2 linked regions of the Caenorhabditis elegans genome follow. The protein of the gene in region 2 interacts with the protein of the main gene of each other region in a pairwise test. Each region holds a gene or a part of one and is shown on either strand. Other genes may lie near its edges. The genes, in order: gap-3 and F23H12.5.

The links.
Region 1: the proteins of F23H12.5 (region 2) and gap-3 interact in a two-hybrid assay, tested with the Caenorhabditis elegans proteins (one large-scale study listed by BioGRID).

The regions. Positions count from the first base shown.
Region 1 is NC_003279.8:2,007,229-2,012,354, forward strand, and holds the start of gap-3 (SH2 domain-containing protein), read right to left. Parts: upstream 3,298-5,126; 5' UTR 3,252-3,297; coding exon 3,192-3,251; intron 3,030-3,191; coding exon 2,937-3,029; intron 2,871-2,936; coding exon 2,776-2,870; intron 2,732-2,775; coding exon 2,602-2,731; intron 1,543-2,601; coding exon 1,360-1,542; intron 339-1,359; coding exon 94-338; intron 1-93.
Region 2 is NC_003283.11:12,357,031-12,364,636, reverse strand, and holds F23H12.5 (Flocculation protein FLO11), read right to left. Parts: upstream 5,991-7,606; 5' UTR 5,933-5,990; coding exon 5,863-5,932; intron 5,436-5,862; coding exon 5,314-5,435; intron 5,120-5,313; coding exon 4,987-5,119; intron 4,769-4,986; coding exon 4,697-4,768; intron 4,653-4,696; coding exon 3,484-4,652; intron 3,440-3,483; coding exon 3,362-3,439; intron 3,337-3,361; exon of another isoform or gene 3,219-3,336; coding exon of another isoform or gene 3,005-3,218; intron 2,949-3,004; coding exon of another isoform or gene 2,935-2,948; exon of another isoform or gene 2,893-2,934; intron 2,655-2,892; coding exon 2,310-2,654; intron 1,885-2,309; coding exon 1,764-1,884; intron 1,717-1,763; coding exon 1,609-1,716; intron 1,404-1,608; coding exon 1,213-1,403; 3' UTR 884-1,212; coding exon of another isoform or gene 827-883; 3' UTR 782-826; downstream 1-781. Other genes in the region: Receptor-type guanylate cyclase gcy-13, read left to right, coding at 323-427, 472-640, 687-781, 827-883; fipr-1 (FIP (Fungus-Induced Protein) Related), read left to right, coding at 2,935-2,948, 3,005-3,218.

The sequences.
Region 1 (5,126 bases), on a different chromosome or scaffold from region 2:
CATGGTTAAGAACGTGTGCTGACGTCACATTTTTCTCGGCCAAAAATTCCCGCTTTTTTGTAGATCAAACCGTAATGCGCCTTTAAACTATACCTTGTAAGAACATGTCCAATAGTGGGAAATGGTCTACCAGCAAGGCTAAACCCTCTCGACGGACATCCAACAATTAGGAATTTTTCGACCAAATCGAATTGAGTTTTGACTAGCAGTGCATAGGTATCTGTTCCTTTAGACGATCGACGCAGCAGAAATGTGCCAATGGGGCTGTATTGCACCATGTCCGTGGATACTGTATCGTAGAAGTACGGTAGATCCGACAAATCGGCCACCTCTGTGATCTGTAAAAGCACGGAATCTGAGAATTTCACGCGGTGTTGTAGAGTGTCTCTTGATCTACGCTGATCTACAAAAAAAAGCGGCAGAGCTCTCAACTGATTTCGCATGGTTAAGAGCGTGCTGAAGAAGCCACATTTTTTTGGAAAAAAAATTCCCGCATTTTTTGTAGATCAAACCGTAATGGGACAATCTGACACCACGTGAATTATCGAATTTTCCAAAAATTTGGCAAATTATTGATTTTCTTGAATAGTGTTAATTTATTGATTTTTCTGCCCCCGAAAATCGAGATTTATCGATTTTCTCAAATAGTGTTAATAAATTGGAGAAATCCAGCTTGGACCAAAAAAAAAAAATTTTTTTGTTTTTTTTTTCAGCAGGCAGGCATTAGGTAGGCAATTTATAAATGGGTCTCGCCGCGATTTTGTACCAAAATAAGTGTATTTGGTACGCCAAAGCCTACATTAGATATTACGGGAACACAAAATTCTGAAAATGCGTATTGCACAACATATTTGACGCGCAAAACATAAAAATATCTCTTAGCGAAAACTACAGTAACCCTTTAATTGACTACTGTAGCGCTTGTGTCAATTTACGGAAATCATTTATTAATCAATAAAATTAAATTTTAAAAGAAAACTCAAAAATGACATTTCGTAATTTTTTTTTGCCATTTTTGTGTTTTCTTTTAAAATTTAATTTTATTGATTAATAAATGACTTCCGTAAATCGATACAAGCGCTACAGTAGTCAATTAAAGGGTTACTGTAGTTTTCGCTACGAGATATTTTTATGTTTTGCGCGTCAAATATGTTGTGCAATACGCATTCTCAGAATTTTGTGTTCCCGTAATATTAGCACAATTTCGCCTTTTTTAATTAATTTTTTAAATTTTTTGTAGAAAATTGTGAAAAAAAACGTAACATTTTTTTGCTTAAAAATTGTAATTTTTCATCAGTTTTTTCCTAGAATTTTCAAATTTTCAGTTAGAAATTTCCAGTCTTTCCTACTTTTCCCTACCAAAGGTTCCAAATGTGATCTTAAAATAATTCCAACGGAACCGCTCGTCTCATTTCGTCCTAACATCCATCCGGTCTCGTCGGTCTCACAAACTGACAGAATATCACCGATTTCCGAGTTCATTTCGTCGATTTCGCGTTGTTCGAATCGTCTAACGCATAGGTACTTGGTTTCTTGGATTTCCTGGAAACAAATTTTATGGTATATTAAAATTCCGGCATGCACGGGGTGCCAGCGACTGTCCCATTACGTTTTGATCTACAAAAAATGCGGGAATTTTTTGCAAAATCAGTTGAAAACTCTGCCGCATTTTTTGTAGATCTAAGTAGATCAAACCGAAATGAGACCACGTGGACATGTTTGCGCGTTAAATTTGATCTACTCGATTACGGACTCAATACACCATATTTTACGCGCAAAAACTACTACTATTACAGATAATTCTACAAAACTTTATATTCGTGTATATCGATATTCTGACCAATTCGTCATATTTGACGCACAAATTATAAATTATTACGGGAAGACTAAATTCTGAGAATGCGTATTACACAACATATTTGACGCGCAAAATATCTCGTAGCGAAAACTACAGTAACCCTTTAAATGATTACTGTAGCGCTCTTGCGTCGATTTACGGAAATCATTTATTAATCTATAAAATTAAATTTTAAAAGAAAACACAAAAATGGCAAAAAATAACGAAAAAACCAATGAGAATTGTATTTTTTTGCCATTTTTGAGATTTCTTTTAAAATTTAATTTTATTGATTAATAATTGACTTCCGTAAATCGACACAAGCGCTACAGTAGTCAATTAAAGGGTTACTGTAGTTTTCGCTACGAGATATTTTGCGCGTCAAATATGTTGTGTGATACACATTCTCAGAATTTTGTGTTTTCGTAAGACATGGAGTAATTTAATTGTTTTTTTAAATTAAATTTGCGCGTTAAATTTGATCTACTCGATTACAGACTCAAGACACTCTATTTTACGCGCAATATTATAAATTTCTTTTTTTTCTCTGAAAAATCACTTTAAAATCCAACAAATTATCCAATAATGCAAAAATTTGCGCGTCAAATATGGTGTATCACACGTGGTGTCAGAGTGTCTTATTTTGGCTTGAATAAAGTTGATCTACAAAAAATGCGGCAGAGTTCTCAACTGATTTGGCATGTTTTTGGGCGAAAAATTCCCGCATTTTTTGTAGATCAAACCGTAATGGGGCAAAAAAATACCCCATTAATCGGCATAATTCCTCCTTTTCGAACTGGAATCACAGCCAGCTGATAGGCATCTACAATATCTCGAAGGGTCTCGAAACGCTTTCCTTCGAAAAAGTAGTGAGGTGGGGTGAGTTGGCGGATGCTGAAAAAAATTTGAATTTTAAATTTTTATGTTTAAAAACCAACGGTAAATGTTTCGGATAGCCGTCTTGATCCAATATCGACAGATAAAATCTCGTCTGGCCAGTTTGCCGAACCAAAAACGCGCCGGGAGATGTGCCCTGGAATGTTTTGCCGGTTTTTTGCCATTTTTTGCCATTTTTTTTGTAATTTTTCGCAAAAGAAACCTGAAGCAAATGATTGGCATCGTGTTCGTTTAATTCCCCATGGTACCACACATCGTTTGGCGATATATCAGGCGGTGTTGGGTTCGTGTGAGTCTGCGAAAAAACAATTCCTTTTTTTTAACTTAGGATTTTTTAGAATATTTTAAACTGTAAATATAATTGATTTTCGATGAAAATAAATAATATAAATGGTATTTTTCTAATTTTTTCTAATTTTTCCTTTTTTTCCTCGATTTTCACTTGTTTCGCCCTCACTTTTAGAAACAATGGCCCTTCCGTGCTGCTGTTAGGTGTAGTATTCTCGCTTGAGTGCATAACTTTTCATTTGCACCTGAAAAATGCCAAAAAATTATTGATTTTCATCAAAAAACAGGAAAACAAATTCAAAAAAATGCGAAAAATCGGACGGGTACGCAATTTTGCGTGACGGTGTACGTACTGGGGAAATGGAGGGAAATTTGAATTTTAATTAATTTTCGATGATTTTCGATGAAAAAACCTGATTTTCAGGTAGAAAATTAGAGTTTTAAACCAAAATTTTGTTTGGAAATTCGAAAATTTGCGCTGGAAGCTAAAAAAAAACAATATTTAATTGTCTTGGCCTGATTTTGGAATGTGAATTCCATAGATATCAACTCCGCAAATGTTTTTTTTTTCTTATTTTTATCGTTTTCAGCTAATTAGAAAACTTTTTTTTTAATTTTAGGTGAAAAAATGCAAAGTTTCATCGAAAAGTACTAGAAAATGTTTAAAAAATACAAAATCCGGAGGAGGCAGTGGAAAGTGAACTCCGTAGATTTCAACTCCGTGGGATTAATCCCAGTTTTGCTAATTTTCAGTCTATTTTTTAAATTTTTAATTTGAAAACAAAACGTTTTTTTTAATTCCTTTTTAAAAAACCCATCGAAATGGAAAAAAAACCCGGGGAAGGCAGTGGAATTTGAATTTGGTAGATTTCAACTCCGTGGAATCAAGCTTGAACAATTTCAATAAAAATTCAAAGTTTCCTCAAAAAAAAAGGTGGTAAACGGTAGGAAATAGGTTGTGAATAAAGTGATAAAAGTTGAAGAAAAGAAATCGAAAGAGAAGGGGGGAGAAAAGGACGCATATTATTACACCCACGCAGTCTTCTTCTTCTTCTTTCTCACAATATACACACACACACACAGACACCAGATCACTTTTCTGTGTGTGTGTATATGTGTCTGCGTCTCTACCACGAATCACTGTCTCTCTCTCGGTTTTCTGTGTCTCTTGTACAGCGAGAGAGAGAGCACCGGAAGTTCGGATGATGGACCATTTGTGAAAGTGGGAAATGGAGGACGGAGAACACGGAAAGTTTTGGAATTTATTCAAATATTTTGGGTAATACCTAAAAATAAAGAATTTTCGTGAAAAAAATTGTCGTTGTGATAACAGATAACACAGTGATAACAAGACATGTGATTAAAAATTATGTTTTTTTTTTGAAAATTTTATTTTTTACAGCTGGAAAAGTTTAAACGTGTACACGTGGTGTCAGAGTGTCTCTTATTTCGGTTTGATCTACGTTGATCTACAAAAAATGCGGGAGAAGAGACGCATAGTTTTCAACTGATTTTGCATGGTTAAGAACGTGCTGACGTCACATTTTTTTGGGCGAAAAATTCCCGCATTTTTTGTAGATCAAACCGTATTGGGACAGCCCCTGGCACTACTTGCGTGTGGAGACAGCGCCAAAACACCACATGGTGTATTGGCTGCGCCTACTTTTTCAATGAAATTTTACATTTTTAGAGCAGTTTTGCCGTAAAATTCAGCTGTTTTTTATTGTTTGAAGAAAAAAAGGAAAATTAATGGGACAAGTACCAGCTCCTGCTCCTCCGGGCTTCTTCTTTTTTTCTTTTTTTTTGCCAATTATTATTACTCGGAGGAAGTTTTTTTTTTTTTTTTTGTTGCAATATTTTTTTTTCTAAAAGAATTTTAATTTTAAATTCTTATAACCGGTTATATAACCTAAAATTCAAAAATTGAGAAATTTTTTTAAATTTTGAAGTTTACCGCCCTCAAAGGATATTTGAATTGTTTTAAATTTTTCGTTTTTTTTTTGAAACAAAAAATTTTGAAAAAAAAAATTGAATAAAAATTCACGGATTTCTGGCTTCCCTCATATATTGAAATAAAAGAGTTTTTGCCGAACTAGGCCATCTT
Region 2 (7,606 bases):
AAATGTCTCAAAACTTTTTCATGGCCATATAAAATTTTGAAAAAAAGTTGGAAAACTTTTAGTACGGTATCCGACTAAACATTTTTTTAAGTAATTTAAAAAATAATCAATCAACATATGATATGAGTGAAAACAAATGATAACTAGATTCGGTCAAATTAGCGAGATTGGATAATTTCGATCGAAGCCGTGATTCAAAAAAAAAATGTTGAAATTTTTATTTTAAAAACAATTCTTGAAAATAATTTTATTTTAAAAAAATCTGTTGGATGTATACTGAGTTCACAAAATTAATAACGTTCAATAAGGATTTTATTTCCAGGTAGAAACGATCGGCGACGCCTATTTAGTTGTCTCTGGGCTACCTCGCCGAAATGGTACGGAACATGTTGCAAATATTGCCAATATGAGTTTGGAGCTGATGGACGTAAGTTTTTAAATCATCTTTCCTCATTTCATTTAACATTACAGAGCCTTCAAGCCTTCAAAATCCCACATTTACCACAAGAAAAAGTTCAAATCCGAATTGGAATGCATTCTGGATCTTGTGTAGCAGGTGTTGTTGGATTGACAATGCCAAGATATTGTCTTTTTGGTGATACTGTGAACACTGCCAGTCGAATGGAAAGTAATGGAAAACGTTAGTTTGTAACTAGACTTTTAACTTTTGAAAAATTATATTTCAGCGGGTTTTATTCATTTATCGTCTGATTGTTATGACTTATTGACCTCATTATACAAGGAATACAATACTGAAAGTAGAGGAGAAGTTATCATTAAGGTTTGTTTGAATTAAAACATTGACTCGTCTACCGTAATCTTGCAGGGAAAAGGAGTAATGCAGACCTACTGGCTTCTTGGAATGAAAGAAGAAAGTGCATAAAAACAACGAAATCCTAGAAATCAAGACCACCTCAAGAAAACAAGAAAACATATCATATGAATAGAAAGAGATTTATAAATTTATTTCAAATTGAAAATAAATATAGAAACATGAAAATATGATCTTTAAAAGCGTGACAGATTACAAAATAGTGTGTTATGTCTCATGTTATACCCATATTGCTAGCGGATGGAAAATCTGAAGAAGTCTTATTATGTTATTAGAGAAAAAGTGGGCGATGTTGGAAGTGATGTACAATGAAATTTGAAAATATGCTTTGAGAATCCAAGGAATGCAATTAAAATTTTCAGATCTAAAAAATATTAATATTAGCAAACAGAAGAAGAACATGATTGAACTTCAATCTGAGGTGATGGGCATTTTAGTGATCTTTTTACTCGATTTAAGTTCTCATATTCTTGACTATCCATCGGAGCTGGTTCTTCAAGTTCTTCTGGAAATTCTGCTGGTTCACCAAATTCAATATCGTTTGTAGATTGGTCAATTGGAATGAACTTTTCTATAAATAAGTTTCTTGTTCATTGTTACTCCCATTAGGTTTCAATTAGGTTCAATTCAACAATTTTTTCGATATCTATTTCTCAAGTGTGTTTCGATCACGTGCAAATATTTAATGATAATTGGACGGCCATTCATTGGCACGAGGAGTAATTTGATGGAAAAAGAATGAGAAAAGTGGCAAATAATAGCTCAAACAAACTTACGATCATCGTACGCATACTTTGAACCGCCAAGATATTTGAGACACTTTCGTTTCCGAGATTGTTTGCCGCATTGACACTTGGTCCACTCGCTCCATGGAGACCAGATAACTATAAGATCAACTGATAATAGAATGGAGTTGATTAAAACGAATTACCTTTCTTTCCATTTTTGAATTGAGTTGAAGCATCACGCTTGGATCGAATCAGAGCAAATCCATTTTCAGGAATTGGGAATGGGAATGGGCTTACTGTAGTTGTTGTTTCATCGGATTCAAACTGAAAAAAAAACAACCAGATGAATGAGGAATACGAAACTTCACTTTCGAAAAATTCAGATTTTAAAATTCTTGAAAAATCGGTTAAAAGGTCGGGACTCTAGCATGAATGTGCGGAAGTTATTTTTGGCAGTTTGGATAATAATTTCAGAAAAATTAATATTTAGAAAATAATTTTTTTTTATTTGAAAAGTTAAAAGTTTTATCTTTTTTTTAATTTTGCAACTAATATTTATTTTCAGAATAATTTATTTTTTTCCATATATCGACACTGAATCTTAAAATTAAAAAAAATGGTAGCATGCCGAAACATTTAAATATTGTAGAATAATTGTCAAATGCTATTCCAAGAAAAATTATCTAAAACAACTTTGAATTTTTAAAATTAAATTCTTGGCTATTTTTTGGCTAAAAAAGGAAACTTACATCTCCTATCCTGAATCCAATTGGTTCTTCTTCAATTTTCTCGACAGGTAATTGATCAGAAACTTCAGTTTTTGTTTTATCATCTACCATTCTTTCCATATCATTAATCATCCATGAAAGTGCTCTAGCCGTGTCACCTCCTAACATCAAATCTTCAGATGCTTTTAATGGTTTCTGAGTTGTTGTGACAACTGGTGTCTCAACCCCTTCTGGTATTTTCATAGTTGCTAGAATTTTCCTGTTCATTTCCACTTTATTTCTTAGAGCAGCTATTCTTGATTCCAGCTCTCGATTTTCCTCGTAGACTTGACGATCTTTTTCCGAAGCCCTTGTTGGCTGGGGTTCCTGAAAATCAAAAGACTTGATTGTGAGGTGAATGGCTATTCTCTTTGGAATGAGTAAACTTAGACTTTGATGCTCTGCCTTTACATTCTTAACTGTCAAAACCTGAGCAAACTAAATTTTTGGGGCGTCAAACCGATGGGCAGTTTGAAAAATGAAGAAAAAACAATTGACTGCCTGCGGCGGGTGCAGAGCAAACATCAGTTCAAAGAGTATAAAAGTAAAGGTATTCGAGTTATTCATCAATCAGCTTTTCTAGCTCATTCTTCAAACTTCACTCAAAATGAACGCTAAACTGTAAGTTTCTCCCATAACACTAAAAAAAAATCAAGATTTCACCAATAAATTTTCAGTCTCATTCTTGTCTCTCTCCTCGTCATCTGCGCTTTTGTTGCTGAGACTGATGCTCAATACTATGGATACGGATATGGAGGATATGGATACCCATCTTCCTATTATGGATACGGTAGCTATTACGGATACGGATACCCATACTATGGAGGATATGGATATTACGGAAAGAGAGAAGCTGGATTTGGTCCAAGCCAACAACAAAATAATCAGTAGGGAACATCTTACTACTGAGCCATCGAACATGCCGACCACAACTCAAGTACTGATATTAATGACAAGGACAATTTGAATTTTAAATCTTTGAAAATGAATAAAATATTTTGATCGATCATTACTTTTCCGATTGCAAGACTTACAGAGGCAGAAGGTTCAGTAGCCTTCGGAGCAATAAAATTTTCTTCTTGAATCTCGTATTTGGCAGGAGTTGGCATTGGCTGTAAAACAATATTCGTTTTATTATAAATACAATTTTTCGTACTTTCATTGGCTTAGTAGCAGGAATAGTGTACTCTGTTGGAAGTACTGCCATTGTTCTGATTTTTCCCAGTCTGTTTAATTTTTTCAACCTTCTATTTCTTCTCTTCTTCTTCAATGGTTTATTTGTAATTTCAACAGTAACTATTTTTGGTTTCTTGGTTGTTGTGGGTTCATCATATTCGGAAGGACTTGGAACAGTTCTAAAGTAAGGTCCTGGTGAAGCTCTTTGTTCATTCATGAGCTTTGGGAAATGTTGGAAGTTCTGTTGAGATGTGACAAGAGCTATTCTTGGGTTTTGCAGATATGATGGTTGAGGAATTTCTGTAGTTGTTTCCACTTCGAAACTAGTAGTTTGAGGTTCTTCAGCTGCAGTTGGTACAAATGGGAGCATAGACATGGGCATTTCAATATGTGTATTCACTGTTGAAGGAGCTCGTCTAACTTCTCCAAGTCGCCTAGTGCTTGGTGAAATGGCAAAAGTTGGCATATTTCTTGACGGTGCTTGGGTGTTTGAAGCCAGTGGAACCGGCTCTTCTCCCCACATTGGCTCTTTTCCAATCGAATATGAGCCAACACTGTGTGTGGACCCATCGGTACTGTCTTCTGGATCCATATCAATTGGGAACGATGATGGAGTTGATGGGGTTTCAGTTGATTCAGTTTCCAGTTCAAAATCGGGTGTCTGAGTTCCCGGTGGAGCCGCAAATGTTGGAACGGAAACTTCTGGAAGCGGTTCTTCAAGTGTGTATTTTCCACGGAAATTCACATCTTCTGGCTCAACAAATGCCTCGTGATCGACAATTTTCGGTGAATTTGGGGTTACGGTTTGTGGAATCGGTTCAATTGATTCAGTTGTTGTTTTAATTGTTGTTGTGGTTGTTGGAGCTTCTGTCGTCGTCGTCGTCGTTGAAGTTGTGGTTGTAGTAGTTGTAGATGTTGAAGTTGAAGGAGTTGATGTTGGTTCTTCAGTGCTCTTTGGATACTTTTCAAACTCAAATGTACTTGGAACAGATGGATATGTTGGTTTTGGAGATTGTGGAGACATTTTTACAGTCTCATCAAAATATTCTTCTTCCTCATCAGTCATCATTCCAACACCAGTTCCACCACGATTCATCACCGAGAAATGATCAGATGTCGATGCGGAAACAGTTGGAGAAGATGTCGGTGCTGTAAAGTAATCGGTTGTTGAGCATAACACTATTTAAAAAAACCTCTTGGAGCTGGTGGCATTGCAGTAGTTTGAGATATCATGTGAAAATTTCGATTTCCACGAGTTTGAGCATCTAAATTAATTTAATTTTTTTCTTTTAGAATTGGAAAAATAATTTTTTGGAAAATTGAAAAAATTATTTAAATTTGCAATTAGTCAAATCGATATTATTACTGGATTCCCAAGTAAAAATGTAACATGCATTCAAACTTCTTTTTAAAATAAGTTTTGATGATTTTTTGAATGTTTTTTTCCAAATTTCAGTTTATGAAACAATTTTTTAAAACGAACACTTTGCTTCATCCGGAATTTCTGGTTCATAATCTTGATATAATTGTTTCATTGCCATTTCTCGATCAGCTGTCTCAGGATCTTCATAATCCAAACTATTTCTCTTTGGTGGAGAGTTACAGGATTGAAATTCCTGAAAAATACTTCATTGAAAAAACAATTCGGTTAAACGCCCTTGAAAAGTTAATCCTTTTTCGACACGTTAATTATCAATGGGTCGAGAGAAACGACGAATGTGGGTTAGTGATAGGAGAACATCAAAATGATAAAATTGTGTGACATTACTAGTGTCTCAACCAACGCCCTGAACTGGGAAAGCATTCTTACCTTATTATGACCGAGACATTTGTATCCACGGACTGTCGAACAAGCACGAACACGAATCATTAAATTATTTGAACAAAATGACCACGGAGACCACATTGACCAAGACGATGATATTACTGATACTGAAATATTTAAATAATTATGTAAAACAATTTTTAAACTCGGTGTTCAAATATCAAAATGGTCTCGAAAGTTTTTCTTCATGGAAAATCTGCGCTTTGAAATTTTGATGAACAAGACTATATAAAGTGGTATTAAAATTTCGAAACGTACAAATTTTCAAAATTGAATAATTTGGCTGAATTACTTTTGTCAGTTTGGCCTTTTTGTAAAAATCTTGATTATTTTTTTTTTGAAAATTCTGAAATACGTAGGTCTCATGAACAAAATTAGGGTCATTTTCAGTTTTTTGGGGGCTATGAAAAGTTTGACGCTCCTCCAGCTTTAGTTTGTAATATTTTTTAAAGTTGAATTGTTTGTTGGAGCTTCAAAATGTTTAAATTAAAATTAAATATTTTCAGCCAATAAATTACATTTTTCAAATCTTACATGGTTCATATTGTGATGTGGTAAATGCCATAAGTGACATGAGAAATAAAAAAAGAAGTTTCATCCGCATTCTTCCAAATATTGAAATAACTGAATCTTCCCGTTGTTTTTATGTCTTCTGGATGATCCTGAAAAGGAACAAGTATTTTTTCTTCTTTTTTTTCTGATACCGGTGAGCGTGTTTCTCGAAAAAGATGGAAATCTTAAAAATCTTGAGAAGAGTGGCGAATAAGGTGACGGTAAAAAGAGACAGGAACGGATATCTGAGGTAAAGATCAATCAATGCGAAGTTGGAGAGTTTCTAAGAAAAACAAAAAAAATGGCATTGAATTATTTGGCTAACGGTTACATTTATTTAGTTGAGTATTTGTTTGTGAGAATTAAAAGAGACAAAAGTTGTGGGTCAAATTAGAAATACTTAAAAGAAATCTTCGCTGTATTTTCAGAAATATGAAAAGACCGTAATTTTCCTATGGTACCAGTTTTAGTCTACTTCGACAGCTCATATTTCGGTTGTCTTTAATTTTACCAAAAATTATTGAAGTATTAAATCATAGAAAATTTGTTGGCGCGTATTTCGTTTCTTGAAAAAGTTTTGATAAAACCAAAAATATTCGAACTACACGATGTCAAAGTAAAAAAATTGAGTGCAAGACTGCATAAGAATACTTCTTTTTTCCAAATACTCTATTTGAATTTATTCTCTAATCTGAAGTTTTTCGTATTTAAAGAAGAATGATAGCTGTGAATAAAGTATGATAAAAATGAAATCATCAAAATGTTCGTTCCTGCTTGTATTTCACACAAAAAAAGTGAAAAGTTCTATAAAGGAATAAATATAAAAAGTAGATGAAAGACAAAAGGATGTGCGGTGTGTGTGTCTCAATAAAGGTTGTCTCCAGTCGGTTAGCTTCCTTTCATCCAAATTCTCTTTTCGGATAGAGGGGGTCATTCGGGTGAAAGTCGTATAAGAATAATGTGAAGAGATATGGGGAATCAGCCGTTAATTGGGAAAAAGAAAAGAGACAAGGAAAGCCACATGCTGTGATGAAAAGAACGAATTTCGGAATTTATCATTCTCTGGATGATTTTTCAAATCGTTTTCAATATTAATATTCTCACGGATGTCAAAACCCTGTGTTTAACCTGCGCATTTCTCGGTCTCTTTAGGCATTTCGTCCTCAAAGTTTATCTAGTGAGATTATCTTTTTCTTCGGCGCCTCGCATGTTTCTGTAATGGCGCCGGGTAGTCAATGAGGCCAAGTTTTATTGTTTTTCGAGGAAAGCACTCTGTTTTCACACCTGCTCTATCCATGAAACAAAAAGTTTATAAGGAACACATGGCTGTCAATTGAGAGAATGAAGTATAGGAATTTCCCGTACACTATTTTCAAACTCAAAGTATAATGGAGCTCAGGCTTAGGCTTACGCTTAGGATTTCCCTCGAATATTGCACTCATTATTATTGGCAGCCAATCGATATGTAGCAAAACCGAACTTCACGACGACTACGTGACTGGCGTACGTCTCTAGCAGCTTATGTCGTTAAAAGTGATAAAGAATTTTAAATTCAGAATCTGAAAACAGAAGACATTGCTCAATAATGACATCTCTGTAGACAGATACCGCGTATACAATTGAATATGCATTGCACCACACAGGTCGCTAACTTATTGGTAGCCAGGTGTGCGCATTTTCGAATTATTCTTGGCATAACACTGCAGAGAAAAATGAAGCGTTGTTG